3 linked regions of the Xenopus tropicalis genome follow. The protein of the gene in region 2 purifies or fractionates together with the protein of the main gene of each other region. This does not show direct contact. Links are inferred from orthologs where the notes say so. Each region holds a gene or a part of one and is shown on either strand. Other genes may lie near its edges.

Evidence for each region. Proteins that work in one complex are often made in the same cells at the same time.
Region 1: the proteins of ago3 (region 2) and tnrc6c purify together in Homo sapiens (affinity purification with mass spectrometry; 3 studies listed by BioGRID and IntAct, with this or other methods). This does not show direct contact. The link is inferred for Xenopus tropicalis from reciprocal best matches to the Homo sapiens genes AGO3 and TNRC6C.
Region 3: the proteins of ago3 (region 2) and tnrc6b purify together in Homo sapiens (affinity purification with mass spectrometry; 6 studies listed by BioGRID and IntAct, with this or other methods). This does not show direct contact. The link is inferred for Xenopus tropicalis from reciprocal best matches to the Homo sapiens genes AGO3 and TNRC6B.

The regions. Positions count from the first base shown.
Region 1 is NC_030686.2:45,703,157-45,713,815, forward strand, and holds part of tnrc6c (trinucleotide repeat-containing gene 6C protein), read right to left. Parts: intron 10,410-10,659; coding exon 7,884-10,409; intron 6,663-7,883; coding exon 6,450-6,662; intron 6,254-6,449; coding exon 6,090-6,253; intron 5,801-6,089; coding exon 5,720-5,800; intron 4,849-5,719; coding exon 4,791-4,848; intron 4,431-4,790; coding exon 4,285-4,430; intron 3,512-4,284; coding exon 3,338-3,511; intron 3,040-3,337; coding exon 2,893-3,039; intron 2,132-2,892; coding exon 2,012-2,131; intron 1,757-2,011; coding exon 1,673-1,756; intron 1,258-1,672; coding exon 1,020-1,257; intron 608-1,019; coding exon 437-607; intron 1-436. UniProt on the Homo sapiens protein: Plays a role in RNA-mediated gene silencing by micro-RNAs (miRNAs). Required for miRNA-dependent translational repression of complementary mRNAs by argonaute family proteins.
Region 2 is NC_030678.2:81,757,445-81,768,842, forward strand, and holds the start of ago3 (protein argonaute-3), read right to left. Parts: upstream 5,405-11,398; 5' UTR 4,459-5,404; coding exon 4,440-4,458; intron 1-4,439.
Region 3 is NC_030680.2:121,695,486-121,706,144, forward strand, and holds part of tnrc6b (trinucleotide repeat-containing gene 6B protein), read left to right. Parts: intron 1-2,030; coding exon 2,031-2,118; intron 2,119-4,677; coding exon 4,678-4,699; intron 4,700-5,303; coding exon 5,304-5,651; intron 5,652-6,665; coding exon 6,666-9,086; intron 9,087-10,659.

The DNA of each region.
Region 1 (10,659 bases), on a different chromosome or scaffold from region 2:
TGCATCAAGAAGGAGATTTAAATGCATGAGGTGAGGCGCGCGGGGGTGTGCGGGGGGCAGCGCTGACAGCACCACTTCTATCATCTGCCTAGAGGGGAATTATATTTTGCTTGGAAATAAAGCAGCTTAGCTCAGTAACCGTTATATATCTGTAACCCTGTTGCTGTGTTTGTGTTGGGCTGCTTGGCCAGCGCCTGTGTCTTTATACCATTGACCTGACTGCTAAACTGCTGACAACATAATGACTACATTCCGTTTGCCTTCATTGGGTGCCTGAGTGACCAAAGTGCTGGCAAAGGGGCTTCGTCCACAATTCACAGCTGAGGTACAAGTCTTCCTTGAAGGAAATGTAACCTGCTGTTATATGTGGCAAATGTACGTCTGTATAGTAACATGGCGCAGCTTTACGGCACTGCACAAAGAGTGCCCGACTTACCGGGCTTGCCAGGACTGGGGTCAAGTGGAGAAGCAGCATTTGTCAGACTGTCCATGGCGTTGGGGTGAGTCCATTGTGGCAGACGAGACTGGGACTGAGATGAATCCTTCACTGACAAACTGCCTGCCATGTCCATGTTGTTTACATTCATGCCGGGGTTCAGTCCAGCCACTGCAGAGAGATGAGGGGTTACTGGAAGCTAAAGGCTAAAGTCACACCCAAGTTTACCCTGCAATCACATGAGCCCCACAGTGAAGACTGCATGGCAGATTGGGGGTGGCAGTCAGTGAGCAAAATCCTGTCCATTATGTCTAATGGAATCCTGTAGTTCCCCACAGCTGGAAACAGTCAGTACTTCCACTTGCAGCCCCCTGTTTGATTTATTGCTATGCTGGCCCACCCTGATAACGTGCCTGCAGATTGTTAAGGAGGTGCAGCCATGGGGACTCTTTACGTGCTGCCATGCCTTTAACAACGTAAAGCGGGAAAAGACCCCTAATGAGTACACGCATGTTCTCCACCAGCTCTTTCACTGGGGCGTAATGGCTGCCAGTACATGTATTTACTAATGCTGCACTCTCACCAAGTGGGTATGGGGGGAAGGTGCTGGATGAAGACTGCTGCTCTTTGGTGTGAAGGTCGGACAGGCCAGGGGCCGGGGTATGGGATGAGAAAGTGTCCAGCGCAGACTTGCCTGCTGGGGGGTGCAAAGGAGCGTGTTGAGGGGGAGGCTGCTGCTGCTGCTTCATGAGCAGGGCCTGGGCCAGCTGCCGTTGGTGTTGCTGGATCTGCTGCTGCATGTTATTGATTGTGCGTGCAACCTGCAAAGGGCACAATACACACGTCATATGGAAATCATGGGAAACACATAATAAGAACAGTGTGTTGCTATCTATCTAACTCTTGTTACTGTAACTATAGAGGAGGCAGACTCTGGGGGTCCCAGGAGGCATAAGGGGCCTTGTGGAGAACTGACTGACATTATGGAAGTAGGATTTAGGTACCATTCCTGCATAAAGGATAGAAGGATGTTATCTTACACACGTTACAACTCCCTGCACCCCACTCATTGTTGCCCAATAACAGCTGCCCGAGCTTTCCCAGAGTGGTTTTCCTGCTATTGCTCGTGAGGTTCCATGGGGCTACGCTGGGATGGGAGCTGGCTTTTAGATGCCTTTTAGCATTCAATGACACTTGCAGAGGTGTGAAAAGCAATGCTGAGCGGATTCCACTTACTTGCTGCTCCTGCTGTCTCATGGGTCCGGAAACATTGCGCTGAGCCTGTAACATCTGCTGCTGGAGTTGTAAACGCTGATACGCCTGCAGGTAAAATGAGGGACAGGTCACCCCGGTGGAAATGTTCCAAGCCAGAGGAGCGCAGAGCACGGGAGCTGCGGCAGTCCCTTACGTAGCAATAGACTTAATGGAGGATGACAAGATTACTCATTCTATTTCATTGGCAGTCCATGAGTATGGGATATCTAATGCTCAGCTGAATGCAACACACAGGTCAGAGCTGTGTAACGCCATCTCTAATTGCCCGTGTCTGTACTACAGAGGCTACTTGGTACTTACCAGCTGCAGCTGGTAGAGCTGGTTCAGCATGGTCATATGCTGAGGATTAATTGGCGAAGTTAATAGTGCAGGGTTGAGACCAATGTTTTTTGCTGCAAACTGCAAAAGCTGTGCTTGAACCTAAAACGATAAGAGAAACCAGAGAGTGTTATTCCAGCTGCAATAACAAGGCTGCTAGATAAAGAGCACCCCCTGTACCTCACAAATATGGCTACCAGGAAACAATAGGATGACCTGTAGTATGCCAGCAAGCAGTCTGTTTTAGCAAGTGGTAATTAAAAGGTGACCCAAAATGGCGGATATGGGACAAGGCAGTTACTGCTTGTAGGTCTATTTATATACAGTAATGGTGTCCATACACAGGTGGATTTGGGCACTTCAGACCGAGTCGTTAGCTTATCTGTCCATGTGTGGGGCCCTCCGACGGACCTCCCTGACTGATATCTGGGCGAAAATCTGCCAGATGTCAGTCAGGCAGGTTTGATTTCCCATCGGACTGAGGAAGGTATCGATGTGATCCTTGCCCTGACAACTGTATCCTGTGGTTGTGACCAGATTGCTTGGACCTAGGGCCAAACAAACAGATATCTCCCACCTTACCAGGCATATGGGGGAAAGATCCACTTGTTTGGTGACCTCGCCACAAGGGCAGATCTTATAATGTATGGCAAGCATTAAACTTCCTATGTTCATGTAAACCAAACACTTACTATCACCCACTATTGTCTTCTGTAAATCTCCAGTCAGGGTAGAAACAATGAAAATGTGGTATTTGGATACATCTGTAGAATGAGCTACTGTACTTGGGGTGACTGAATGCTTTGGCCCACCTTACAATACACAGCACATCATGCTACACACATATTCAGTAACAAACGCACCTGAGGGGATAAGAACTGAGGCACTTGAGCACGAAGACTAGGCTGGGATGAGTTGAGAGGTTGCACTGGTGGCTGCTGCTGCTGCTGCATGGACCTGGCTTGTGCTGCTCCACTATTGCCAAACATACCCAGATTGCCACTCTGCATCTGTACCAACATGGAGACAGTGAGTAAAAGCGCATATTAAGGAACAATGGTAGAGAGTATTTAGAATTGGGAAGATAAGCAACGCGGTGCCTTAGAGAGAATAATGATTAAAACAACAATACAGCACAAATTCTTAGGCTCCAGTGACTTAGTATGGCTTCTCTGCTCCCTAATGCGGCCAAAGACAGATATATATATATATAGCATAATGCCCCGTGCATTGGGATAGTACTTAGATCCCTTGCCACACACTAAAGATTGCAGGTTGGTACCCTTCTTGAACAAACACCTGTCTTACCTGTCTAGTGGAATTCAAGTTCTGCATGCCAAGCCCTGCTGTCATGGCACCCAGGGCCTGATTAGGGAGTGCACTGTTTGGATGGGGGAGTTTCAGGCTTGGTGAAGGCAAAAATGGTGAAGAAGTGGGCTCTTCCGCTAGGCCGCCATCCTGATTGGAGAGGGAGATGGTGAGCTGTTGGCAGGATCCAGAGAGAAGGCACAGAGAGGCATGTGGGGAGAGAGGGAGGAGAGCTGTTAGGGTACGGAGCCCAGTCAGAGCCAATCAATACAATATAAGCAAGGGCAGGGCAATAGCAGGGTCTGTATCCCTCATGTACCCAACGAGATCCAAAGCTTCTGAGGGGTTAAAAGCTTTGCTGACATTTAAGCAGAGACAAGCACATGGTTCATATGTCTGCTGCTCTCGCTCAGCTGTTCTGTCAATATCCCACTAATCCTTCCCTTCCCCCCCCAGCCCAGTCTGTGCAGGGCAGCAGCGGGCAAAGCCTGAATAGATCGGGGGCCAATAAGTCACCTCTGAGCTTTATACAAACTCCTAAATACTCTGAGCCCCCAGCACCTCATGTAAAGCAAAGACCCCTTGGCTAACCTTGTGCATGTAGACATTCGGTCATTCGGCAAAGGTAAATGTCAGCATTAGGATAACAGTTACAGAATGAAAGCTCCAACACTCCCTGTGCCACTGCACCAATAACCTAGCAGGATTTCCCATGGCCCACAAACACAACCCCTTCCCCATAGAATGGAAATACAAGTATTCTATACTGCTGGGCTGAACCTCCAACCAATCAGTGGCTGTCGATGACTGGGGGGGCCAGTCTGTACCCAATCATTACCAGCTATCAGTTGGTGACATCCCAGCTATTCTGCTAAATACACACACTGACACGGCTGGCACATTCATACACAATCGCTCCATTGGTTCCAAAAAGAACCACTTGTTACCTTGTCAAGAAAAGTGGGGCGGTCCATGGAAGACTCTTTGGAGATTGGTGGTTGGCGGCAGCTCAGGGGCTTGGTGACCATCACATTATAGTCTGCCAATCCCAATCCACGCTTGTCTATTTCCACCTTCTTTTCCAGGAGAGCGCCTGCAGGAAAGGCAAAACATATAGAAATTCTCCTTCTGACTTGTAAAGCTTGAAAATGGGGGTCACTGACCCCAGCATCTACAAAACAAATGCTCCGAAAGGCTAATTTTGATTTCTATCATATTACATTATGTGAGTATAAAGGGTAATGCAAAATATAGTATAGTGCCCCATTAAACTCCCCCTGGGGTAAAGTCATAGGGGCAGGATGAGATTCAATTTGGGATGCAGTTCCACCACCTCACTGCTGTTATGAGCTCTGTACTAAAGGAAAACAAATCCTCCATGTGTAATGGCTTGGCCGGACAAGAGAGTACTACTGGCTGGCACATACCCTACACCAGTGACTGGGACACTTACTCATGGCCTGGTCCAGATTCATATTGTTACTTTTCAAGGCCTCTTCAGCAGGCTCTTTCTGTAAAGAGGGATAAAGGTTTTTAGAAAGGATGAGAAACCTTAAACATTTTCTTAACTACCACTCCCTGCAATATTAGCCCCCTAACTACCACTCCCAGCAACGTTAGCCCCCTAACTACCACTCCCAGCAATGTAAGCCCCCTAATTACCACTCCCAGCAACATCAGCCCCTTAACTACCACTCCCAGCAACTTCAGCCCCCTAACTACCACTCCCAGCAACGTTAGCCCACTAACTACCACTCCCAGCAACGTTAGCCCCCTAACTACCACTCCCAGCAACGTTAGCCCCCTAACTACCACTCCCAGCAATGTTAGCCCCTAATTACCACTCCCAGCAACATCAGCCCCTTAACTACCACTCCCAGCAACTTCAGCCCCCTAACTACCACTCCCAGCAACGTTAGCCCCCTAACTACCACTCCCAGCAACTTCAGCCCCTTAACTACCACTCCTAGCAACGTTAGCCCCCTAACTACCACTCCCAGCAACGTTAGCCCCCTAACTACCACTCCTAGCAACGTTAGCCCCCTAACTACCACTCCCAGCAACGTTAGCCCCCTAACTACCACTCCCAGCAACGTCAGCCCCCCCACCACACAAATCTATAGCTCACAAGGAGTAATGATAACTGCTTGCCTAAAAGAACCAGCCAGCAGAAATGTCATAGACATGGGTCAAAATATCCATTACCAGCCCCTTCCCGTGACATCATCGTGCCTTACTATACACCCTATCCCAGAGTTACCACCCCCCCTAAACCCAGCCTGCCTTATTATGCACATTCCCACGGCTGACAAAGTACACGGAATAGCCCCGTGTCAGATAAAGCATTGCTCTGCATTTCAAGCCGTTTCTGGCGACACGCACCGGGAAGCCCATATCAGTGAGCTGTTTAGTCAGTCGGGACATGATCCAGACCTCGTCGGACTTGCTTGGAGTCTTTATGACCTGTGCAAATAGAGCAATTACACAATGATGACAGCCCACAGCAAAGCAGAGCTTGGGATGGCTGCCAGGGCATTGCTTTGGCAAAAGGCAGCTTAATCATTTTTCTAAGGAAAAAGAAAAATTCCATCAAGATGGCGTATAGAACTCGGAGCTCTTAGGCCCCCAGTTGCAAGCCCCACTGCATGTAGAAAGCAGGGCAAACTGTATACAAATGGAGTGTTGCCGCGGCCATTATGGCAGATATGGAGTTAATACCGTGCCAGCTATTACCCTGCAGGCTGCCCCTTACCTTGGAAAGTCCTTTTTTGGGGCCGTTGCCCCACGAGTTGCAGGAGGAGTTACTGTCTTGAGAAGCAGCATTGTTCCACATGTCTCCCTCATCTTCCTCCCACTGGCTGCCCAGGCCGGCCTCCTCTCCACTACTACCCCAGCCTTCTTGCATAGATTTGGGAGCTGCAGAAAAGAAAAGATGGTGGATTTCTAAGCAATGAGTTTCCATACAAGGTACATTTCTGTCTGTCAGGCTTCTGAAAGGCATGACTAAACAATCCCAGCACAGGAACTGAACCGTGGGGCCCTGTATATCTCTGCTTCCGTCCCTGCTGCGGGCCTGGCAGTGAATAAGTACAACATAACCTGGGCGCCCCACCTGGTTTGCACAGCATGGGGGCAGCAGCAGCAGCAGGAGCGCTTGTCCTTCCATATGTTCCGGGAGGTTCCGCAGAGCCGTCCCCCCAACCTGAAGTGCTGTTTTTGGGCTTCCCCCATGCCGAAGTGCCTTTGTCGACAGCAGCAGACGGGGATGGGGGCTCTCCCCAAGAGGCTTCAGTCTTTGAGTTAACATTAGGCAAATCTCCCCAGCCTGCAAAATAGAAGCACTGTCACTCTGTAACCAATCCTAGCCATCCTTATATAGTTAGCCTCACTCATCATTGCCTGCAAATCATATCCAACTGCTGAACTACATCCTGATCCCAGGCCTGTCGGTAGTGCCCATACACGGACCGATTCTAGCTGCCGATATCGGCAGCCATAGACCGATTTGGCAGCTAATCGGCCCGTGTATGGGCACTACCGACAGGCCTGCCCGACCGATATCTGGCCTGAAATCTCGATCGGGCAGGTTAGAAAATCTAGTCGGATCGGGGACCCCATCGGCTCGTTGGTGCAGTCCCTGGACCGACTTTGCCTATACCCGTTGTGAAATAGCCTAAATTCCCCCGTAGGTGGGGGATATCGGGAGAAGATCCGATATCCCCCAAGCAAGCGGTCTGAAGGTGTATGGGCACCTTTAGGCAGTGCACCGGATGCTGAGAGCTGCAGTTAAATAAACAGCTGAAGTGCTTACAAGATGGAGAGCCCTCATACTCAATGCTAATAACCAGATATTTATTAGTAAAGAATACTTGGTTGCTATGGGTTACTAGACCTGGTTTAAACCTTTTTGCCCATTACTACATGATCCCTCTAACTTCTATAAAGTAGATGTGAGGTGTCAGGTAGACAATACCCTAGAGAGGATTTAAAGATCCCTAAGGATTCTGGGGTACCAAGGGTGGGTCTCTGCTAAGACTGATGTTAAATGTGGCCTCTGGCATTGACGAAAACGTGATCTCGTGGGCACGGACTTCCTTACCATGTTTATTATTCAACTCCAATTTTAGACAGCTTTAATAGGACACCTAAGCCGCTAAGAACAAAGAGGCAGCATGTGAATAAGGAGATCTACCTGAGTCTAATCCTGCCGGCGCTTTCCCAGCCCCGAGGTGACATTGATAGGGTGCCCACTACTGCGCTTCTGTAGGAACTGGGGGAGATTAACCCTTTGCAGACAGAGTGTACTTGGAGTAGACTGTATGAGTTAGCACCAGAATGAGCAGAAAGGCAATGGATGCCGAGCCTAAAGCCTAAGCACTACCAACGCTGGCCAACCTGCCACCCTCTTGTATATTCAGTATAAGTATAAGTCTGGCAGTTGTAGTTCAGCAACAGCTTGAGTCTGAAGCATGCAGAAACACAACGAGAGCAGAATATGCTTAAGAATTAGTTCCACTCCATACACAAGTGGTTATGGCCAACCTACCTGGACCGAGCAGTGGGGATCGGTTCTGCTGGGCACTTGGCTGATGAGTTGGCTGAGGTTCAACCATATTGGTATTTGGAGGGGTGCTGGGAGTGGCGGCGGAGTTGGTGTTTGTTGCAGGGATGCTCTGAGATACCGGATTATTCCTATCCCACATGTTTACAGTTTTAATATAATTGCTCGGGTCACCCCAAGCTGAGGTACCATCGTCTATTTCCATCTTACGGCGTATAGACGGCGGAGAAGGCTCTTGCCAGCCGGTGGAATCAGCTCCAGCATCCTTTTGTTTGGTTGGTGGTGTTGCTGGCACCGGTCCACCAATCCACACAGATCCATTCTGTTTTACAGATGCTGCTCCTCCCCACCCACTCACATTGTTCTCTTGGGGTTTATTGGCCCAGTTTTGCTGCTGAGGAGCTTTCATGGGCTCCCCCCAGCCTGTACCGGAATTATTCTTGGTGTTTGTGCCATTTCCCCACCCGCTGGTCCCAGGCCGCGAGTTCTCGTTCCACCCAGATCCAGGCTTACTGTCGGAGTCCCACCCTGTCCCGTTTTTCTTTCCGTCGGTAATGTGTTGAGGAACAGGGGGCCCGTCGGTCCAGTCTCCGCCCGTAGAACTCCAGCTTGGATTTGATTTTTGCCCGTCGGCCCACCCTTGGGGTTTGGACTTGTGAGGCTCACTCCAGGTGGGCGACTTGTCCTCCTGATTAGCGGACGCGCTCCAAGCGTGACCACTTTTGGCAGCAGCATTGACAACAGTAGAGCTTGCGTGTTCCCCCCACCCCCCTGGACCATTTGGCGTTTTTTCTCCCCAGCTTGCACTTACAGGGGCAGACACAGGTTGGGTGTTCATCCACCCCGATACTGAAGAGGTATTGGTACTGTTCATGATGGACCCTTCACTCTTTCCCCCTGAGTTTGAAGGCTGAGTATTTGAACCCCCCCAGGCCTCCGTCCCAACATTTTTATGATCGGGACGCTGAAATTCTTCCAATTCCCATGCAATATTCTGTCTGACGGGGACCTGTCCCCAGCCGGTATTGGAAAGGACTCTCGGGTCAAGATCTTGTCTTGGCATCTGCTCTGCCATCCCAGGGTCTCCCTGCTGACCATCTCCTCCCTTCCCTTCATTGGCATTCCCAGCGCCGGTGCATCTGTCGTTGGCTGCAGTGACAGATGCAACCGCTTTGGCCCTAGAATTCATTTGCTCACCTCCCTGCTGGGTGCTCTGCATGCCAACGCTGGGGCTGTCCCACCCTGTGGGTCCTTTTCCATTCATGTCATTGCTGGAATGCTGGTTTGGGACCTTACCCCACTCACCGTTCACACCGTTACTTGTGCTATGTCCAGTATGACCCCATGGTCCGGGATGCATGCCTCCTACGCTGCCTCTGCCTCTCCCCCAAGGCAGCACCCCGGGGCTACTAGGTGGTCCTGAATCCCATGCACTCATTCCACTGCCATCTTTCTGAACTGCGCAGCCATTTTGTTTAGAGCTGCCATCTCCTCCTTCCTGACTGAACCCTGAACCGCAGCTTCCTACAGACGGGCCGCCCTGCGATAACCCCCACACCGAGCTGCCCGTGCCGTCACCTCCCGCCCCGCTGACTTGAGAAACTGAACCATTAGCACCAGGAAGGCCTTGCAGGTGGGGTGGGATGATGCCCCCCATTCCGACAGCCATCCCCCAGTTTGGCAGTCCATTTGTCTGCATTGCATTAATAAGGTTTGGTGAAGAATTCATGGGGTTAGTGTTATTTGGTCCATCAGTGTTAAGGTTCTGAGGTTGTACGCTGAAAGACACATTCTGAGAATTGGACGTTTGTGGTTCTGTGCTCTCTTGTGACTGCAGGTTCCTCCAGGCACCTAAACTACCAGCTGCGTTTCCATTCTGGTTGCCCATGTTCTGTCCAATGGCACCGACTGGACTTGAAATGCTGGAAGGACTGCCGCCTCCCAAAGTCCCTTCATGTCCAAGTACAGGCCAGGCAGCTGGGTTGGCATTCGGGTTAAGGTTAAGATTAATGCCAGTATTTGGGTTGGAAGCGCCCCAGCAGTTATGACTCCTGCTCTCCCCAATCATGTTGTCCACCTTGCCATCCCCACCACCAATAGGGCAGTGAGCAATGCCAGAGCTGGAGCCTGGAGCGACACCCCAAACTCTGGCTAAGTTCCCATTACCATTTGCCCCACCAGCTCCAAGGGCACTCTGGTTAGAAGTGCTTTGGATGAGTGCTCCATTGGCGCCATTATTGCCATTTGTTTTCTTTGTATGTCCAGTGAAGTTGCCTTGGGCACTAGTAGCCATGCTACTTTTCTCTGAGCCACAGTTGGAGGCAGAGTCAGTGTCTGTAGTACATTCTGAGGCAGATTCACTCTCAGTTCCAGTAATGGAAGGCCACGCTTCCTTGTCAGTCCTGTCTATTATCACTTTATCCCAGCTACAAGTGGCTTCACCTCGGAGAGACGGCTGCAGTCCCCAGTGGGAATTCTCATAATGGTCTCCCAAACCACTGTGACTGAGATCTGCCAGGGGGAAAGAAAAGGCACATGTTAGTCAGCTGAATGCTTCAATACTATGCCCCCCCCAGTCCCCGTAGTGCTGGGCACCCTATACACATACTAAGTGCCTCTACCTCTACTGCCTTGTAATATATCCATTCCTCAGGGCCAGAATATCTGTGCTATGAAACGTGGCAAGGTAAACAAAGCATAGGAATGGGATAGGGCCCTTAGATTGTAAGCTCACTGGGGCAGGGACTGATAGGAATGGGAT
Region 2 (11,398 bases):
ATGGGCATGACCAGAGTTGTGAGAGGTGTGGCACAGGGTGTTGCTAAACTAGATTAGGGTAAGCTTCTCTGAATAAATGTGTTTTTAGAGATCTCTTGAAGGCAGAGAGATTGGGAGAAAGCCTGACAGTTTGTGGGAGCGAATTCCAGAGAAGGGGGGCAGCCCTTGCAAAGTCTTGAATGCGAGCGTGTGAGGAGGGAATGAGAGAGGAGTTGAGGAGCAGGTCAGTAGAGGAGCGTAACAAGTGGGTTGGATGGTATCTAGAGATGAGTTCAGAGATGTAGGGTGGGGCAGAGTTATGGACTGCTTTAAATGTGAGGGTCATTAGTTTGAATTTTATCCTGGATGGTAGGGGAAGCCAGTGCAGGGATTGGCAGAGTGGGATGGCAGAGGAGGAGCGGTTGGAGAGGTGTATGAGCCTGGCAGCAGTATTCATAATGGACTGGAGTGGGGACAGTCTTTGGAGGGGAAGGCCAATTAATAGGGAGTTACAGTAGTCCAGGCGAGATATTATAAGAGAGTGAATAAGAATTTTGGCAGCATCTTGGGTGATAAATGATCGGATTTTGGAGATATTTCTTAGGTGAAAGTGACATGATTTGATAAGTGATTGGATATGAGGGGTGAAGGACAGGGCAGAATCAAGGATAACCCCAAGGCACCGGGCCTGGGAAGATGGGGTGATGGCAGAATTGTTAACCGTTATAGATACCTCGGGAACAATGTGGGCGTTGGATGGGGGAAAGAGAACCAGTTCAGTTTTAGAGAGGTTTAATTTAAGGTAACGTTGGGACATCCAAGTGGAGATAGCGGACAGGCAGGAAGAGACGCGAGTTAGAAGCTTTGGGTTGAGATCAGGAGAGGAAAGATAGATCTGAGTATCGTCAGCATAGAGGTGGTACTGAAAGCCAAAAGAACTGATTATTTTGCCAAGTGAGGAGGTATAGAGAGAAAATAGTAAGGGGCCCAGGACAGAGCCTTGGGGAACCCCGACAGAAAGAGGCAAGGGAGAAGATGATTCCCCATTGTAAGAGACACTGAAGGATCGATCTGAGAGATAAGATGAAAACCAGGATAAGGCAGTGTCACGAAGGCCAAGAGAGCGGAGAGTCTGGAGGAGAAGAGGGTGATCCACAGTGTCAAAAGCAGCAGAGAGATCGAGAAGTATTAGTAGCGAGTAGTGTTTTTTGGCTTTAGCCGAAAGGAGGTCATTTGTTATACACTTACATACAACTTTTAGTAAAGATTAGTAAATTTGTTTGCTTTTTTATTTTGCACACTTATATAAACACATACACACACATTCGCACAACTTTTAGAAGCGTACACACATGTATATACAAACCTCAGCTTTTTTTTTTTTTTACTTCATTTTTTAAATGTATTTTACCCTTTTGTCTTTTGGCAGAGTGACTATTGGATCAGGCATTTTGACCATTAATTACACCGTTGAATCATTTTGCTATTTGATTGATTTGCACAATTATTATTCCTTATGTGTTTTTTAGCATAGCCTTGAAGTTTGTTACTTTGGTGTATAAAGGTGCCTTTACCCATGCTGGATTCATCACATATATGGTTTTCTGGGAATCTCTGTACATTTAGGGGTCTTACAGTATATAATATGCAGTTGGGGCTTTGTTTGCAAAAGCATGAACATTTATATGCACCATTTTCATTTGGGGTCTGTACATATATACTTTGGTATATCTATGCATATTGGGCATCAAACTCTTCAATAGACTTCTGGCGTTCATATTTAGGGTGATTTGTTTTTGTATGTAAGAAATGTACGAGATTAACGTAGCAAACTGCAACATTTTTGTTTAACCATTTTGGATTCACCAGAATATGTACTTTCCAAAAATATATTGTTTTCCTGGATCACCATAATTTTTTTCAGCTCTTGCCACAAATAAACTCGTGGTGCGTTTATGAAAAAGTGTAAATTTGTAAGCCATGAAATTAGTATGCACAAGATATATTTTGGGGTCTCTAACATGCCATGTATTTAGATAAACTTATACACATTGGGCATCAGAGCTGTTGAGTAGACCCCTGAGGTTCAAATTTAGGAAGTTTTATCTTGGTACCTAATGATAATGATACGTGGGAGATAAGATGCTGCGCAGAAGAAGCTTTGAGGAAAATTGCCAACTTTAGGAAAGCTTTGCGGTTTGGTACTGTGAATTAGAAAGATGTGTACCCAATTTGGATTCGGGGAAATCTTAAAATATTTTCCAAAACATTTTTTACTAGGGTACACTGACTTTATTTTAGCTTTACCCCACATAAAATGATGTAAATGTGTTGATTTTGAAGAAGCTGGAAATATATCTTCATCTTAGGGCCTCTACATGCCACATACTTAGGTAAACCTATGCATTCATGTTTAGGATGTTTTATCTAATGATATGTGGGAGATAAGATGCTACAAATTAGATTCTTTGAGGTGATTTTTTGAAATAATATCTAATCCGCCAGCTTTAATAAAGCTTTGCAGTTTGGTACTTTGAATTAGAAATATGTGTGTACCCATTTTGGATTTGGGGGAATGTCTACTTTCCAAAAATATTTGGCTTTATGGTCGAAACTTTTTTGTAGCTTTACTCTTCTCACAGTAGCTGAAGTGACATAAATGATTGACCATATGGAGTGTCTTCATCTTGGGGCCCCTACATACCACATACTTTGGTAAACCTATACACATTGGCCATCATGTGTGAGATAAGATTCTGCAAATGGAAGCTTTGAGGAAATTTTTTAAAAAAAATTAAAAACTGATAACTCTAGGAAAGCACTGCAACTTGGTAGTTTGGAGTAAAGAGACATATTTACTAATTTTGGATTCATCAGAATTTGTTCTTCCCAAAAATGCATGGTTTTCTAGGGTGAACCTACTGTTAGTCAAATTTTTGGCCTTGAAATCTGAAGTATGCAGATTTCTGGACCAGTGCTTTGAAATTTGGTAGTGTACCAATGAAAGTTTTGGGTGAGAAATCCATGAAACTCCATAAAACTATAAATATTTGGTATTGGTATGTTCAGTACATGGTACTTTCCAAATCAGTTGTATTTATTTGCATAAAATAAATGATGTCTCTGATATGTGTTTACATTATGGATTTTTTTTTATTTTTTAGCTATTTAGAAGGATATATCTTGTTACAGAAATGAAATTATACCAACATTCTAGCATATTTTAAAACCTATAAACTTAAGTACCCCCAGTAAAGGCCCCTAAAATGAAGGAGCACAAAATGTTCAAAAACCGTCAATAGAAGTACAACAAATACACTGCCAGTGAAAGTGGTAAAGGGGACCTTAACTAAACATTAAATCAGTGTTTGTTTTTAAGAATCAGACCCAGAAAACATAAAGGAATAAACAATGTAACTGAAATTAGGTCCCCAAAGGTCTTTTCAGGAGTCAGGGCCAAGAGTGCAGAGAATACAAACCGTCAAATACTACTTAATAGCAATTATATGTACAAATATAGAGAGAACCCCTTAATTAGCAATTGTACAGTTGACAGAAAAGCTGTATTAAACGGCTAGATCAGGCATATGGTAGATTAAGGATTATTGGACTTGGATTATTGACAATTTTGTCAGATGAAAGGCAGTGAAGAGGAGTAGCATTCCTGCATTATATGTTGTGAAAAATGTGTAATATAAGCATATTATAGGTTTTAGGACCATATATACATACATATAAAAGAATGAGGCTGAAGGCCAAGAGCTTTTATACAGGTCATGAAACACCCCCTTCCCTTGTGGCATCAGCTCCACAGTCTGGGAACCACTGCCTTATTTGATGCATTACTTTGTTCTCAACAATCAGCAGCATAAATGCAAAGGAAAGTGGAAGCAGGAGACTTTTACAGCTGTGGTGAATCTTTTGCTAGCGCTAGGGCACAAGACAACTACTATATATTTGTTATTATGGTGCCAAGTTGACTATTAATGGACTACTGACAATCATGGTTAAGGAAAGGAAATACTTATTTATGTCAGTTATCCAACACAGGTAACACTTTGGCAACTTGTTTTTTATTTGCAATGCTTCCAATGGGGTTTAAACAAAGAAGCATTTTGTAGTCTACCTACAGTTCAATACACAGTCTATAGCCAAATGATTAAGTGCAACAATACATTTTGGAAAAAAAAAGAGAAAAACAAGCAATGCCCCTTTGTTGGATGTGTATTTAGCAGGAAAAAAATGAGAAATGACAGGGACTAATGGGGTATAGTTGCAGCACCAAAAAAAAGTCTAACTTTCCTCAAGCTGTTGGACTACACTCTGCTAATCTTTCCACAGCTACCTCTGCAACAGTTAGACATTACCACTATACACTATCAAATCAATTCCAGAGGTTCCAGAATGCAGAATGCTGTTGACAGAATGTTGAGTTAACAGAACAGCAAACTATTCCTCACCTGCGGTTCCGATTTCCATTCATGGAGGTCAATGGACGCTTCACCGAATCTGTAGCTCCCAATGAGGAGTAGAAAAGAGATGGCAAAGAGTTCCTCTTGTCTCCTGGAGTACCCTAAGCACTGGGGCCTACTGCCCCCAAAGACAAGACCCTTTTGAGCCACCAACAACCAATGGCACTGAGCTTTTGCAGGCAGATAGAGGAAAGCTAGTTGGCAGTGTAGTGTAGTAGTCACTCTAAGAATGGGGCTCTCTCTTGGCTTCTCCTGCTGGCTTGTCACACAACTCCACAGCTGGGGGGGATTTAGTCACCTGGCTGCCTGTTTTCACAACAGGAGTTTGTGATAAGAGCTTGACAGCTGAGCAGCAATTGGCTGGAATGAACAAGTGGGAGGGGAGAATGGATAGCAGCGCAATGGCGGTTGCCTTGGTGATTGGCTGAGTCACCTCCAAGTCCTCATCGCTTACTTCCACCACACTGGCCTGAGTGGGGAACCCCAAAAGCTGGTTGGCTGACTCATACTCCAGCGACCGGAGTGAGAGCTTCTTGTGCACCCCACTGCCGCCCCTGATTGGTTACCTTTTTGCCAGAGTGTTAATTTTCAATGAAAGCCAACAAGCGATTGGCTGACTTCTTCCAACACCTCAGCGGAGTAAGAGCACCTGGTCGCTATTGGCTGCCGAGGAGTATGGGGGTCCTCCTGTTGACAGGGCAACAGCTAGGAGTTTATTGGTGAAGTTTTCCGTCCACGTCAGCCAAACAAATTATGTTATCTGCCTCTGATGGAGCAGCAGCCACTGACTTCGCCCGGTCCTCCTGTCTCCTCCACTACTGAGGAGGAGTGAGACTCTGATGCCTGCACCCTCCCACTCAGGCCGGACATGACGCCGGGAGTAACGGTAGCTGCTAGTTCCTAGTTGCTAATGGCGAGTGACATCACAAACACGTGAAGACGTGGCGACGTCTCCAACACGTAACATTCGGCGCCTTCTTCAAACGCCTGTATAAGTAGCTTATGGGTGAGTTCGCTCCTCAGTGGTTACTCGGGGATGCTATGGAGAGAATGGCTTGTTAAAGGTAGTGGCACAGCGTGCTATTGAGTGAGTATTGGGTTGCGCTGGGAAGCATTATTTGTTTTCTTGGGATAGGATTAAATGCAGGAGTTTATTCAGTTCTTGCCTGAATACTGGGGCTCTTGCTGTTCAGTGGAGGCTGTGGATCTTTTACACACTTGCTATTCTCTGTAAGGAGTGTGCCCTTAATATTAGGGGGTTGTTGGAGCCTGCTTATATGTGGAGTGCTTGTATTTCTTGCTTTAAGGGTGCTGATGAGTTTTGGGGTGTGCGTTTTGTTGGTTTTTTTTTTGGGGTTTTGATTTTTTTTTCGGTTATGTTGACATGCTGCACAATTCTGAGCTATGGGGAAGAGTTTTGGAGAGTTAGATAATTTTGGGGGTGGCTTTTTTTTTTCTATTAGGACATTTAGAGCCTAGTAGGCGCCTTCTTCACTTGGCTATATAAACAGAACACAGTCCAGCTCTTAGTGGTTACTGGTGGATGCCTGGAGAAGAACACTTCACTGAACGCAGGAAGTGCTTTTAGCTCTTTTGAGTTGAAATGATTCGCTTTTGTAGGTGTAGAATAAAATCTGTATTCACTTTTCCTTGTGGGATCTATCTGTACATTTGGAAAAAAGATGCACTTGCTGTTGCTGGCTATAGCTGTATGTACACTTGCTGGTCTCTGTATGGTGTGTGTGCCCTTAATATAAGGGGTTATGTGTCAAGTGGTTTTATTTATTGGTGTAATAGATGCTCTTAAGTTTTTAAGTGTGTGTATTTTTGTTTTATTGAAGTGGGTTTTTTATTTTTTTTGTGTATTCTGACATTTTCAGGTGAAGGTGGGTGGATGTGCTGCAAATGTGTGAGCTATAGGGATGAGTTTTGGAATTTGCTTACATTTTTGGTGTGTTGCATAATTTTAGGGGATGGCTGAATTTTTTTTGAGGGGACAGGTTTTTGTGTGCTTAGGCATAATTCTGGTGTGTGTGTGTGTGCGCCCAGGAACGGACTTTCCTTGTCACATGACCATACTTTGGGGCGGGCTGATCGGGCCTGGATGGGATGCCACCTGGAGCGTTTGAAAGATGTGCGATGTCTGCGACTGTTGCAGTAACCGGAAGCAGCTGTTACCATGGAAATGTGATGCTTCCAAACAGCTCCATGCACTGTTCAGTAACAGGACCTGGGAATGTGTGAGGTTTTTGTGGTACCGGACTGGCTACCTACCTCCCTACTAACTTACTTACCACACATACTTGCCGCAGTGTGAAAACAAGTAGGATCTATCCTACATGCACTATATTTTATATTTCCTATGATTATACATTTTCCAACTAGAATATAGTCCAACTATATAAAAAAAAGTCTATTTCCTTATATGTAAAGGTACACTGTTCCATTACCAACTAGAAACTAGATATATCTGACCATATTATCTAGTTTCTATTACTGTTCCTTTTCCCACTAGATGTTAGCAAAACTATACTGAATGATCTATTTCCTAATCTGTAAAGCTGCTTTGTTCTATTACCAACTAGGAACTAGATATGTCTGACCAAATTGTCTAGTTTCTATTACTGTTCCTTTTCCCACTAGATTTTAGTCCAACTATACTGAAAGATCTATTTCCTAGTCTGTAAAACTGCTCTGTTCCATTTTCCACCGGCCGGAAGCTTTCGCTGGGAATAGATATTTACATGTCACATCCATGTTCCATTTACTTCAGATTTGGTTTGCGAATCTTTATAAATTTGATTCGTAAAGGCTTACGTTTCGCGCATGCATAAAACCCCTCCGCGAAGGATTCTGAAGTTAATGCGAGTGCTGCTGAATCGTTGGGAGATTGGAAGCCAGTGCAGCTCGCAGTCTCTTCCGTCTGCAGGAAAGGCTCTGTATGCACTACAGAGATCGCGAGTAGGCCCTTTCCTGCTTATGAAAGAGGCTGCGCTGTGTAGTTAACAGCTGGGCATTTTTTTTCCACAGCAGTGTGGACTCAATTCACTGACCACCAGAGTGTTAGTGGGGAGAATTTTTCAGATATGCCAAGGGATCAGACGGCAAGAAGGAAGTGAAAAAATAGTGAAGACCATAAAAACAAGCAAAGTGAGGCGGTTCTTGTAGGTAAAAAAAAAATACAGCAGATATATTGGCAAGTATGATATCAAGTACATAAACCTTGGCTGTGTATCACATGTCTTAAAAAGGAAGGTCATGTAAGATTTTGGTGTAGTTGCCTCCAGGTTAATGTAGTTAATTTTCTGTAGTGATCTTATTGGCATGTCTAGGAATAGTGTATTTATAATCCATTTCTGGCATGTCTGGGGGAAGGGTATTTCAGAAAATGAAGGATCCAAAGCATCAAAAGGTAGGTTCTTATACACAATTGAGGTTTCTGGGTTAAGCAACGAGCTTTCAAAAATGCTTGGAGTATGTCATACTGTCCAAAACAAAAATAGAGCTCTGTACCAGTGATTTTAAATGGGATGATTGATGGGGCATATATGGCAGGTGAATTCTTACTGAAGATTCTTAAAGATGATACTGGCATGGAAGACTGGGGTTAAGGCAGATGTAAGTAAGCAGGCTGCAAGAAGAAGTCAAGGGAAGGCACAAGCAATGTCAGTTACTTGTTTTGTTTATACAACGAACCTAAACCCGCACTCCGTCAGCTCTCCAATAGAAATTCACCGCTCGGTGCACAATGCTAGAGAGGGATCGGCACCCTCCCCACAGACTCCAAGCAAGCAGCAACGGCACTCAAGAGCTACATACGGGACTTGCCCTTAAAATATCCTTTATTGCGGAAATGCAATGTTTCGAGGCTAAGACAGCCCCTTTGTCAAGCATGTCAAGTTACTTGTTTTGTGCAATGAAATGTACTAAGCTGTAGCCAACTGTATAAGAACTACACTGCTTCACTGTAACTATTCTTGGTTTCTGCAGTGTGAGCCAGTAAGTTATGCTGGAAAAAAAAAACCTCTTGCACCCAGAGTTATAATGTATAGATATAAATGAATCACCCTTATATTACAGGGTCTCTTTCAGATTGCACTCACCTTCAATAATATTCTAAGATGCAAACTCAGCAGGAGCAAAGTTTGCCCAAATAAACATCATTAGATGTGTCAGACAGTCAACACGTACAAGTTTAGGCGTTGTTGGCCATATGCAGCATTAACTTGCATGCATCCACAGGAAGGTTTAAACTAACAAAACTTATACTAGCTGTGATGCCAAGCCTCACTTCATTCATTTTCAGGCCAACATAAATCACTTAAGATGATGCAAGATAGTCTTCAAGCTCTAATGAACCAAAGAGATAGTGGCAAGGAGCACATTTGCAGAGGAAATTACCATTGTTGTTTGGGTGTACAAATTCAGGTCAGGAAAAACCAGATTTCCGACTGTATGAGTTCTTTTGAAAGGAAGACACCACCCTCAGAAAGACCAGTTCCAAGACTCCTACACAGTTGTTTATTAACTCCCAAATTGATGCATACATTTTGCAATGTTTATGAACAGTGATGAAATTCTTCATCAAAGGAGAAACATAGGGGACAGACAAATACTAGAAAGAAATGGACCCAAGTTGAAATAAGTACACCCTGGTAATAGGAGTACAGTATTGTTAAGAACAAGTAACAAATGGGAGATTTTTTTTGTACTTTGGCATGATAAACAGACAGGGCTCTTTCCAATTGCCTTGTTTGATTTGTATGCAGTCAGGATGAGTATGTAAGGTGCTAGTATGTACTGAAACGTATTATAACTATGAACATTAATAAAATATGATATTAGATAAACTTGTTTGAAGAATTTGGCAAGTGTGATAACGGTATTGAAGAGCAGGTACCGAGAGTCAAAATAGACCCCAGGTACACAGAAGCCCAAACAGCACCCCACCGGCACAGTCAGTACTGTGACAATTATCTGCTGTACATAATTGCCTGTCTCACAAGAAATTAATCTGCCATTGTAGTCACACAAACATAAATCTGGCAAGCCCATGAACAGGCAACTTTGCAATGCTTTGGGGAGGAGGCAGTGGATTTTGCAACATTTAAAGTATCAGGGTCTGGATCCACTGCTGAGAAAAGTAACAAATCAAAGAAAACATACCAGTACAGTGTAGTCTTTTATTCATAAACAGTTTGCAATTGATGGACAAGCAGCAGCGTTTTCATAATTTGTTATTTTTCAGTCTGTCTGAAGAATCTGTATTGTAACAATACATTAAAAAAAAATATCTGCTTTAAAATATAAACCATTAATCTGCTGTTAAAAAAAAAACAAACATTTGTGCTGCCGTGTTTTAGCACGAGCCGCTGGCATATAATTTTATTACTTTTCAAAAAATACAACACTGCTACATCTAGACACAAAACAAGCTAGTGTAATAGAAAAACTAAAATAAGGTAGCCTGTGCGAATGTGATTTTATACAGCCCAACATCAGTTGGTATCCAGAGGTATAAAAGGGTCTATCACAAGTTAACCCAAAAGCATGAAGTGCCAAGCAAAATAAAGATATGTGTTTATTGCTGTGCTAATATCTTATTCACAATTCCCACCTAGACTATTTGTGTAGCAGTATGCATTGTCCGTACAAGGCCAAGGTGAATTGAAATCAAATAGGCAAAAACAGCTGGAGCATTACAACTGCCTTGAAAACATTATCTCTTATACTCTTAAAAAGAAAACAGAACTAAAAGAAGCAGAGTTTGGTGCTTACAACCTTTAACATGAAATCCTAACAGGGACAGTAATACTAAATATAAACCTCTTGCAAATGAAAAAAAAAAGTAATTGCCGTAACCTCATCTACCCCACTGCATGGTCTTGGTACCACCCCCCAAACAACATCTCCTCATGAGACTCACATTGTGCTTTGGTGGAGCCAACATGGATACATAAAGCCTCAGTACCACTTGCCTTTCCTTGTTTCCAACACATAACACAGAACTCCAGTAGCACCGCTAGTAAGAACAGGATTATGATAATATTTAGCTATACATGAAATTACATCATTAACTTTCTACAAACTGAATTATATTACATTACCTGTGCTTATTCACAGTAGAGCAGTGCCCAGTTTTCTATTTTTGTTAGTTCTAGATGTAAACCTTTCAGATGTGTTCGCTTATAATCATACAGAACTTTTCAACATACATACAGACCATCCTATATTTTAGTGGTACCACCCCTCTGATGTTATGTTTAAATAAATAATAACATTTTCAATGTATTATATTACGACTCTTACACGTGAACATTTTTATATGCAGTGGGTTCTTTATTGGGTCCTACTGCATAAGAATAAATGAGTTAACAAAGCCCATTCTTTTGTAATGTGCTTGTACCCACTTCACTGAAACACTGATGGTAGGCAAGATGCAACAAGCAATGCTCCATCTGAGAATGGTGGTTCAGCGCATTGCAGTGAGTATTGAAAAAATATCACTTCTACATGAGTCTATATGCTTACATGGTATGTATGTGCCCTTTCACAGTAAAATAGGAGTGCTTGATTTATTGCATACACAGAACAAAAACATGTCATTCTGGGATTTTTTTCTATGTATAGAAGCTGCCATATTGAAATCATATGTGGATATTGCCCATAGCCTAACCTAGAAGGTGATCTTCTTGGGCCCTACTTTCCTTTTTCCATATCATGCGTTGTTCATGCAGCAGGAAAATGATATAGATGTATAGAAGAGAGATAGGCAGTACACCTGTCTGAGAGTTCATGACCCAAACTAAAATTTGAGAATTGACATTTAAGAAAAAACATCACTTGGTCATGAGGATCTAAAACTGCATAATAAAGCATTATATCAATTAAATGTAATCCTGTTGGAATGCACAGTTCCATCCTATCAACAGGTAGATGTACCGAAC
Region 3 (10,659 bases), on a different chromosome or scaffold from region 2:
AATGTGTGGTCTAAAGCAAACCTTTATCCTTGTTGGTGATCAGGGAGAGTTGGAATGATGTATTTATTATAATCGGGCATTTATGGAAAGCTCCAGGCAAGCTTGGTGGCTAAATAAACAATCCAGATTTGCATGTTTAAAAAGAAAATGATTTAGAAAACGGAATAGCTGTTTAAATCTGCATTATATTAGACATCAGTTTAATATAACTTTAGACCCCGGAGCATAGCATTTGTAATGGCAGAATGAAGTAAATTTAACAAGGAAAACTACGTTCATATACTGGCAACCTGAATAAGGGTGTTCTACTTTATTTACTAATCAGCAATTTTTGTTCACTATTCTACTTCAAATGACAAAACTACTGATACAATCTGATTGGTTGCACAGCAGGATCTCTCTATAATATTCCAGTAGGTGGAATGCATTCCAGTATCTGGGCACAGCCTGGTGCAAAGATAGAGTAAAAATAACCACAGTTTAAAGAAAAAAATATCAATGTACTCAGGAGTTTACCACACAAAAGGGGAACTAAAACCTTTAAGAAAATGTAAATCTGACTCCTGAAACAATGTAGCACAAGCAACTGACTAAATAACCTAACATCTGCTACATTGTTTTAAGAGTCAAAGGCGGGAATGGAAAAGGGCCAAACAGACGCTGCTTTCAGTTGCAATTACCTTTATAAATAAGTTTAAAATCATTAGAAGTGTTAATGAATGATTATTGGAAAGTTGCTTGGCAATATGTTTACTTTTTTTTATTTAAAACCTACTGTGAGTGTTTTTTCTATGAAACCTGCGTATGTGTTCATGGGTTTGGCTGTTTTTAACAGGATCTGACCAAGAGAATGACCTTGGTTTCATTTGTAGCCTGTGTTCCTCACAAACAGTAGCGATCAAGGCCATAATGTGTGGTTGAAATTCCTGCCAGCTTTTTCTCTATTCACAGTGCTCAGTGAGCCGCAGCCATCCTTGTCAGTGTTGCCGTGTTCCAGCCAATGAGCAATTGAATAGCCATTGTGCTTGATAGCTGTTTCTTCATTACTAGTTATCGTCTGTAAGGCTAATATCACACAAGGCTGTGCAGGGAAAAGGCAGGCAGAGAGAAGTACATGCACTCCCCTCTGCCGTGTCTCTGCGCTGACAGGCCCCCGGGGCATGTATATTTTTTGCCAATGTCGATTTTGTGTGTCTGCCCATAGGCTGATGCTGGAGAGACACTGTGGAGGTTGATGTTTCAGCTTCTCTCTACCTGAAGGTAAAATACACTCAACAAATACAGCCACTGGAGTAAAGGTGTCCATACAAGTGCCGGCAAAAATGCCGACACTGGCCAATAAATAAACTATGTTTGGAGAGGCAGTGGTGGAGCTTGTCATGGTGCCTGCCCAGCCAATATCTGGGTTGGAAAATCCTGTCGGACAAGGAGCTGATTGATGCAATAATGCCACCTCATCGGACTTACTGTAGGCCCCACTGGATGATCTAATCCATGGCCCTAGAGCAACGACTGGATCAGCCCGGCTTTGCCCAGCACATGAATGGCCATACTGGGGGCCGACCCACTTGTTTGGTAGCCTTGCCAAAGAATCGATCTGGCTGTGTATGGCCAGTTTAGTGTTGTATGGAAGCTGAACACATCTGCAAATACAGTCTAATTTTAGCTTCTGTGTGTAGGAAAAGCTGTTTGTTTGTTTTTTTTATTAAGAATACTGTTATACCTTTTAGTATTTATAAAATATTGTGTTTGAGTGAAGACTGTGAATGGAGAAACTATGTACTTGCTGTTTTCTTACTTCAGGTGAAAGGATATAATACCAGAGCAAGAACGTATAGAAATCCTAGCATTTCTCCAGACAGGTTTGAGTCTGGTTTGTGTTTCTGTACAGACTAAAAAAAATCACTGCTCTACAAAATAAATAGGAAGCTTATAAAGAACTAAATTAATGCAGCTGGAAGGAAAGTCTATGAATTGTCGACCATGAGATTTATAGCCTTGCAAAAACATAGTACTTTTTGTTATCCTAGAGAGAAGGAGCAAGAAAGGGAAGAACAGTTAATGGAAGACAAGAAAAGGAAGAAAGAGGATAAAAAGAAGAAAGAAGCTGCTCAGAAGGTAGGTTCCTCTGACTTGTCCTTGCTTTAGTCCTTTCTTAAATGTGGTTTATGCAGCTATGCAAGTATGGCTCAGGTAAATAGGTTTAGTACTGAAAATGTAGTCGGCCTAATTATTTAAAAGGAAAGGTGTAGATATGGTTTATGGTCTTTTTTTTAATGTTGATTTTAATTGCTTACCTGAGACTCTGAGCTAGTGCTTCTGTTTAGTAGAAACTGCACCAGCCTGAGTACTTCTGTAGAAACAATGCATTTGCACAAGTTCTACTGACTACATATTGTATGAAGCTTTGGGGATTTATGGGGATTATTTTATGCTATCAGGAGCCATATGGAGTCATATTGTTCATTTTTTGTTGCAGCTTCTCTTCACCTTCTCATCTGCCAATACGCTGGTCAATATGCTGCATCAGCAGATGCATCAAATCTTTGTTTATACAATTTTATTTGTGTGTGTATGGTCATCTTTAGAAGGGGAACTTCCCTAATTATATCATTGCTTCATGATCTGAAACTTTTTTCTAAACTGCCAGCCGTCACTTGATTAAAATAAATTAAAAAAAAACAAATCTGTGAATGTATGGGCAATGTTTTTATGCCTTATTTATGCAGCGATTTAATGACTGAAATATTTTTTGTGCGAAATTGCCATAAGACCTGTGGCACATAGAGAGTTTTGTCTGCTATTCATGGAATCCCCAAGATTTCACATTTAGTTGTGGATGGTGAGCAGCAGAAAGCCTTTAGAATAATGCCAAGGTGGACGTCTTGCTAGCTTCGTAGGTGACAAATATAGGCAGCTGCCCTGGGCCCTTAGTAACTTTTGTGCCCCTGAAGTAGAGACTTGAGGTGCATGTTAAATTTTTACTCTCTGAACTGTATATCACAGTTATAGGCAATGATTTCACAAGTCTTTAATTTCATTAGGAAGAAGTTATGACTAGTTATTATAGACCTCAGAGAAGGTCTTAAACCCAAATGTCTTGTCTAAATATTCTAGAATCATTCACCTTCTAATATTCCTAGTTTCAAGATTGCAGCTTTGCGTTTAGCACGGCAGTCCTCATAACTCTAGATTAGTTTTCTTTTTTTTTCTTTACAGGCTACCAAGTTACTTATTACATTGTGATGGTGTCTGTGGAGAACCAGCATTTAGGGTTACAGTACCTGTTTAGGGATCCCTAAATGTCTTAATTATGCATAAAGCAAGGACTAGAAAAACCACTGAAGGGTCTTCCTATTCCTTTTGGTTTCTGTCAAACTACCATAATACTTCGTTATAAGCTTTTGCTAGGAAAAGATCATTGCCAATCTGGTAGCACAATGAGTAGTATGTGATGGAAGTTTGCATGGGATTATATATGTGTAGTCCTAAACCCAGCAACTGAATTCTCTCTTCCCGCCCCCACCTTAAAAAAGCAGGTTAGAGAAATTATGCCTGCAGTGGATATCTATTCAGCTTGTATTAACAGAACTGCCTATCCAGCACTCTGCACTTACAACATAGGAAGCATTCAGGGGTGTTTTCCAATAGTCTGCATACCTTTTGTTTTCCTTTCTTATAAAGTAAAGTTACCAGATTATGTGGAAAGCAGGAATGTTTCCAGAAGATTCAGCTAGAAATGCCCTGATTATCAGTGCACACACAGATTCATTAAAGGCTAATATGGCAGACAGAATTTGGGGCTGTCCTTTTTAAGAGTAAGAATATTTATAATCTAGCATGACTAAGGAAGACACGTACATTGTTCTTGAAACTTGTAATTTTTCTTATGGTAGAGATTTTATCAACCTACCATTTTTTTAACTTCACCAAAGCATAATTATAGGGGCAGTTAAAAGTTCAGTTCAATCTTTCCTTCTTAATAACTTCATAATCCATAATAGTTTTTTTAAAATATCTGTTTTCTGTGTTTCTAAGCATGTAATAATTAGATGTGCCCCATGGTGCCTCCAGGTAAATATTTATGTTCAGTTAACGCTGAATTGCCATTTTGATAACATTAACTGGGCCACTAAGTTTATTTTAAAAACAAAAAAAATTACTAAAGACTAATTAGCTTGTTGGTGTTGTCTCTATCCAAGACTAGTCAGATAATTCTTGGTACAGTGCTTTATAGTCTGGTGGAGACCAATATCGCCAAGGGCTAAATGATCATGTTAGTAAGTGATATTGGCCTGTAGCTTCTAGGGTGTTGAGCATATCCCCAGTTTAAGTAAATGAAATGTGTGCCTCCAATGATTGTGGGTTGGATTCTGTCCCCAGTACAGAGGCCATTTAAAACTCTACATAAGTGCAATGTAAAGTTTAAATTACTTCAGTTCTATATCGAGTATCTTTCAGACCCAAGACATTTTTTCATCAAAGATAAGTTCTTAGAATTCTTTTAGGGATATGTATTGTTCTATAATTTCTAGTTTCTTAATTTAATTTGATTTCAAGTATTCTTTTATTCATATCATTTTACACATTTATATCATACTACAAGCATAGGAGGGTACCGTAGGATATTGTATGGATTGCTAATGTTTCTGTTCATTTTCTTTTTTTTTCACACAGGTCACAGAACAAAAAACCAAAGGTAAGTTGCTGAGCAACATATGTGTGCTACTAATGTGCACATGAAAATAAGCGGAGGAAGATGCAGATTGGGATTGGGGTTGGGGGGGGGGGTCCGCTTTCACCATTAATGCTTGGTTATACATATTAACTTTTGCATTGTATGTGTAAAGTTATACATTCTGATACATAGACGATAGCCAGTAGAAATAATCTTTTTTTTTTTTTTTTTTTCTTTTTATAACCAGCTACTAAGGTGGAATTTATTCATCCTCTAACATATTGCCTAGCAACAGTACATATGTTTTTAATATGTTTGCAGTATTCCTTCCTATTTTATTATTGTGTATGCGCTATAATACATGGTGCCATAGTGGAAAAAAATGTAAACAGCTCTTAGTTCTTAGCTCATATTAAACCAGAAATGATTTTATTTACATATACTTACTACTGCTTAGGTTGTGATTATCTCCCTTCCCTTTCAATTAAGGACCTTGAAAGCCAATTAAATCAATGTAATGGCTAATTGATGAGGAAATCCAATGCAGTCTAACTCTATAGAGGAGCAGACCTGATTTATTGGCTGATTATTGCTGCAGCCTCATTTAAGCTTTGTGTTTCTTTAGTGCCCGAAGTGACGAAACCAAGTTCAAGCCAAGCGACGGCCGCCAGCCTACCTGGCAGCTCCCCCTCGCCACCAGTCAATGGTGGCAACAATGCCAAAAGGGTGGCAGTGCCGAACGGACAACCGCCCAGCACCGCCCGCTATATGCCTCGGGAGGTGCCGCCGCGATTCCGCTGCCAGCAGGACCACAAAGTGTTACTGAAGCGTGGACAGCCTCCTCCAGCGTCCTGTATGCTGCCGGGGGGAGGAGCAGGGACTCCCCCCTCAACCACTGCTCCAGGGGCCGGCCCAGGCAACGCACAGCCAGGGGCGGGGACACTGCTGCCAGGGGAAAGCGGGGCTTCAACAGGTTGGTATGGGTGCTAATGGGGTCTTCATAAATATCCCTCTACAGAAATCTGAAAATTCTGCTAATGGCTATATCGATCCTCTTAGTTGTTGTCACATTAGGTAATGTTGCTGCTGCTTGAACACCTAGGATGACTGAAAGACTGCATTGCAGCCTGATCTGTATGTGGTTGTGCTGCTTCTGAAGCACAATGACTCCTTTCTGCGGTCACTTAGCAGTGTACGTGTTGTTCTGGAGTTGCTTTTCAGACATTAGGAATCTCATTCACATCTTGAGGCCTCTTCAGGGGCATCTTGCAATAAATCACTCTTTTGAATAAACATCTGTAAATTCACAGAATTACAGCTGTAACATTTAGAGAACATTACCAACTAATAAACATGAACTACCCACTTCTACTCCCCTCACAATCTTTGTTTTCTTTTTAGCATTAGCCTACACATCACGGAGAGTATTACCTATGCTGTTAGTGGGCAGACCTTCAAAAGTGCTTATGTTCTTCATATATATATATATATATATATATATATATATATATATATAGCTGAATATGAATACAGATATCTTTCCTCATTATGAGCAAGAGGTCCTCCAAACCAAACATTTGTCTGTGAAAACCCCTACCTTATAAGGTCACTTTCTAGTACTCTCCGACAACGCATCTTTTGACCTGGGTGCAATATGTTATTCAAATAATTTGTACTTGGTTAGGGCTACTTTCTATATTTTTTAAAAAATGTTTACATACTTGTTTTTTGTAATCAAAGTTTTCCAGTTCCTTTGTGGCATAAATTTCAGTTGCTTTTAGTGGTTTTAAGAAAAGAATGACACTAGATAGAAGATATGTGTTCATGTATTAGTAATTAGTATTAGTAATACCCAACTCTGTATACATGGTTTGCTGATTTCTAACTCCTAACATTTTTATCTTATTAGTTTTTAGTGCTACTGGATGTCCTTAATAAATTAAATAAATTATCTAAAGACTAATGTTCTCTTTCTCTAAAACTGCAGACTCATCATCGGGGGCAGCTGCTACTTCAAATTATGCAAATTCCACTTGGGGCTCAGGAGGCCCCACCAGCAGCGGCCCCACCACAAACCCTCCCCACGCCTGGGACAAAGTGATTGTAGACGGGTCGGACATGGAAGAGTGGCCTTGCATAGCCGGCGTGGACGCAGAGCCCCCTTCCGACAACGCCACAGACAACAACAGTGCCTCGAACTCAGCCTCGGAGAAGGGACCCCCACAAGGAAGCACCACTAGCCACAAAGGGCGAGGGGGCCAGGGCCAGCAGCAACAGCAGCAGCAGCCTGGTAGTGAATGTATCCAGGGCGTCTGGAAATCTGACCCCAAGGCTAAGCCCGTCCCGTCTTCCAACCCTGCTTCAGAGGGTGTAAATAGACTGGGAAACTGGAGAAATGGGGGTGGGTCAGAGAGAGCAGGTTCTGCCTCTGGTTTCAGCAACTTTAATCCAAATACTAACCCATCTGCTTGGCCTGCCCTTGTCCAGGAAGGCAACAGGAAAGGGAACCCAGAGTCAGACAGCAGCTTTTCTGGCGCACAACTCGGCCCAGTGGGTTTGACCTCTCGGGAGCAGCAGTCAAAGATGGAAAATGCAGGTTCCAGCTTTGCAGGATCGGGCAGGGAGTCTGCCACAACCCATCACACTGACGGACCAAAAAATGGAAACACTAACTCTACGAACTCAAATACTTTGAACCCTCCTGATAACAAGGGAACAGCTTTTGGGGTGGGCTCAATGGATTCCTGCCGGGGTTCAGACTCCCCTGCTCAAAGCACTGGAGAAAGAAAGAATGGGGGGATTGGCTCTTGGGGAGCGGGAAGGGGTCAGTCTGCCACAGGAGATGCTAATTGTGGACATAGCAACTCTGGGAGCAATGGACGAGAGAGAGAAGACGCAAGGAAAGCGCCTTCATCTCATAGACCCAATGGGTCAAGGGGGGAATCTTGGGAAAGCAAAAGTGGGAATGGTTCTTGGGGTTACAGCCCGCAGGCAGACCTCAGTGAAGTGAAATGGAGTGAAGGGAACAAATTGGGGGCTGGAGGGGCGTCTCAGGGAGAATGGAAGCAGCCAGCCGGGCATGAGGACTTAAAGGTGGGAGAGTGGGGAGGCTTGAACCAAGGAAACTCTAGCACTGGAGCATGGGACAATCAGAAGGGCCACTCTCTATCGGATAACCAGGGCAACACGTCATCAGCAGCCTGCTGGGGCCGAGCCCCCAGCTCTGCAGGAAGTGAAGCTGGGGGGCAAAGCACTGGAAGCAACGCTAAAGCAGGGGGGAGCGGAGGAAGCGGAGACAGCCTGAACTCCAGCAGTCGACGTTCACACAGACCTGCCCTCCCAGACAGTCAGGCTGCTCTTCAGACTTTACTGAATCGCACTGATTTGGATCCCCGGGTGCTGTCCAACTCTGGCTGGGGCCAAACCCAGATCAAGCAAGATGCATCATGGGAGAGTGAGGAAGTGCCCTCTCGAACTGAAGGCAAATCAGACCGTGGGACTGAAGGTTGGGAGAACGTGTCCCAAGCCAAAACCTCAGGGGGTTGGGGGGATGCTCCCAGCCAAAGCAATCAAAACAAGTCAGGCTGGGGGGAGCCCCCTGTCCCTGCACCTTCAACCCAAGAATGGAAGGACACCAAAGCAACTGGCTGGAATGACTATAAAAACAGCCCAACTGGTTGGGTTGGTGGAGGAGGTGGTGGGGTGGTTGGAGCACGACCAGAGGACAAGGCAGTTCCAGGTTGGAACAATGAAAGTGGTGGGGCTGCGGAGCCTGGGTGGAGTACTCGCCAGTCTAATCCAGGAGGTGGCTGGTCAGCAGGAAAGAATGGTTGGGGGGGAAATGGTAGTGAGGACATGGAGCCTCCCAAGGCCCCTGGAGGCTGGGAAGGCTCAGGAAGCAAATCCTCCTCTGGCTGGGGTGAAGTTGGACAAAATGATGTGGGTTCTTGGGGTAATGGGGCAAACTCAAATCCAGCTCCACGAACTGGCTGGGAGGAGACTAAGAGGCCCCAGGGAGGAGGAAACTGGGGTGAGGCAGCTAGGCCCCAACTACCCTGGAACAAACAGCAGGAATCAACGCCATCTTCAGCAACTCCTAGCACCTGGGGGGGCTCTCAGGCTCCCCCGCCACCTGGAAATGGGAGGTCACAGCCAACTTCAGGGTGGAAGGGTGGTCCCCAGCCAACTGTTTCCAAGGAGGAAGAGCCAAGTGGCTGGGAGGAACCATCCTCACAATCCATTGGTCATAAAATGGACATTGATGACGGAACAGCAGCTTGGGGGGATCCTAACAATTACAATTACAAAAATGTCAGCCTGTGGGACAAGAATGCTCAAGCAGGCCCTGGGCAGATGGCTCGGGAGCAAGGAATATCTGGGACATTGGCAAACAAGGCAGCTCCCTCAGGTATGTTTTACCAAGTGATTATATTCTTTTACCATAAAACCTCCATTTTACATAACTTAATTTCCCCTGAAGTTCACAATGTTTTTTATGGCCCCACCAATGCATTTCCTTGATTTTACATGTCTCTGGATTTTACACCATTTTTTCTGGTCCCTTGGTAAACATATAATGGGGGCTCTCCTGTATTGTGAAACAGCTGATATTAAGACTTCCCAATTATACATTGCTTCCAAGCAAGAGTCAGAGACTGGTTAAATAAAATTTACACTATTATGGCTACTAGGTATAGTGTACTTTAACTCTGAAGTCTGAACTGTGTTAGCAGTGTCATCCCTCTGGCAAGCTGTGCTTCCATTCCTATCGCTTTTCTGTTTTGTTTTTCAGCTTATTTGAATTAACCATATGACCTAAGAATTGGTATTTAATTTATTCCTTGCCTTGTTTAATTACTAATATGTATTGCAGAATGTAATTTCACTGTTCTGAAGGGGATCGAGCAGGCCCAATTTTGTGCAAAGCATTAATTGTTCTGCTTAAAGGGAACCTGTAACCCACACTTAAAAAGTCATAAGTGTTTTGCATTTTAAAATCTGAGTTGTCAATCGTATATTACCTGTCCCGTGGAGCAGCCAGTTACTTTAACTTCTGCTCTTTCTAGATATGTCACTGCACTCCTCACGCTCTATAATTGTGTAGCCTGGGAATGGGCATGGACATTAGGTCCCCTATTCTGACGCACACACAAGATTTGGGGTTATACAAAACTTTCCTCAATAACAATGCTGTGACTGTGAATTCCAAGACTGAAACAAAATTTAAATAATTTATATAGTGTAAGTAAAGTTTATTTTGCTCAACTAACATAATCGAAAAGGATTTGGAATTATTTTTTTAGGGTGACAGGTCCCCTGTAACAGCAGGAGCTATGTCTTTTTTTTATAGCTGTCTCAGCAGTGTCATAGATCTTGGCTGCTGTGATTTTAATTATACCTTTTGTATAACTGACCTAAAGAGGCTGGTATAGCAACTTTTCTGTGGCTCGCAAGTGTCTCAGAAAGGGGTTAACCCTTTTTGGATAGTGAAAGAAAATGTGCAGTAATTCTTTGCAACTTTCCAATATGCATTAATTACAGAATCCCAATGTTTTTAACATTATTTGTGATTGTTATTGAAAGCATTATCTGTCTGATTCTTTATGTTCTTGGCTCTCCTGGCTTTGGCTCCTGCAACTATGTTGCAAGCCAGCATGCAGATGAGACCTAACTCCTTTTATATAGTTTTAATAGACCAAAAGGAAAGGGATAAACAAATTACATTTAAACTGCTGGTGTTTTTATCACTGTATAGTGTAAAGTTGCTTAGAATTACATTTTCCTTCACTATCCAAAAAGGGATTGACCCCTTTAAGTGTGTCAAGACTGTTGGTAATGCTTGTGAGCCACGCACAAGTTGCCATACCATCCTCTGTAGCAAGCAGTTGCACTTACTATGCTCTTACTAGTCATAATTTACGACTCTGAATAGGCCTGTCAAGAAAACACTTTTCGGTTCCACACTTTAAAGAATAAGTAAA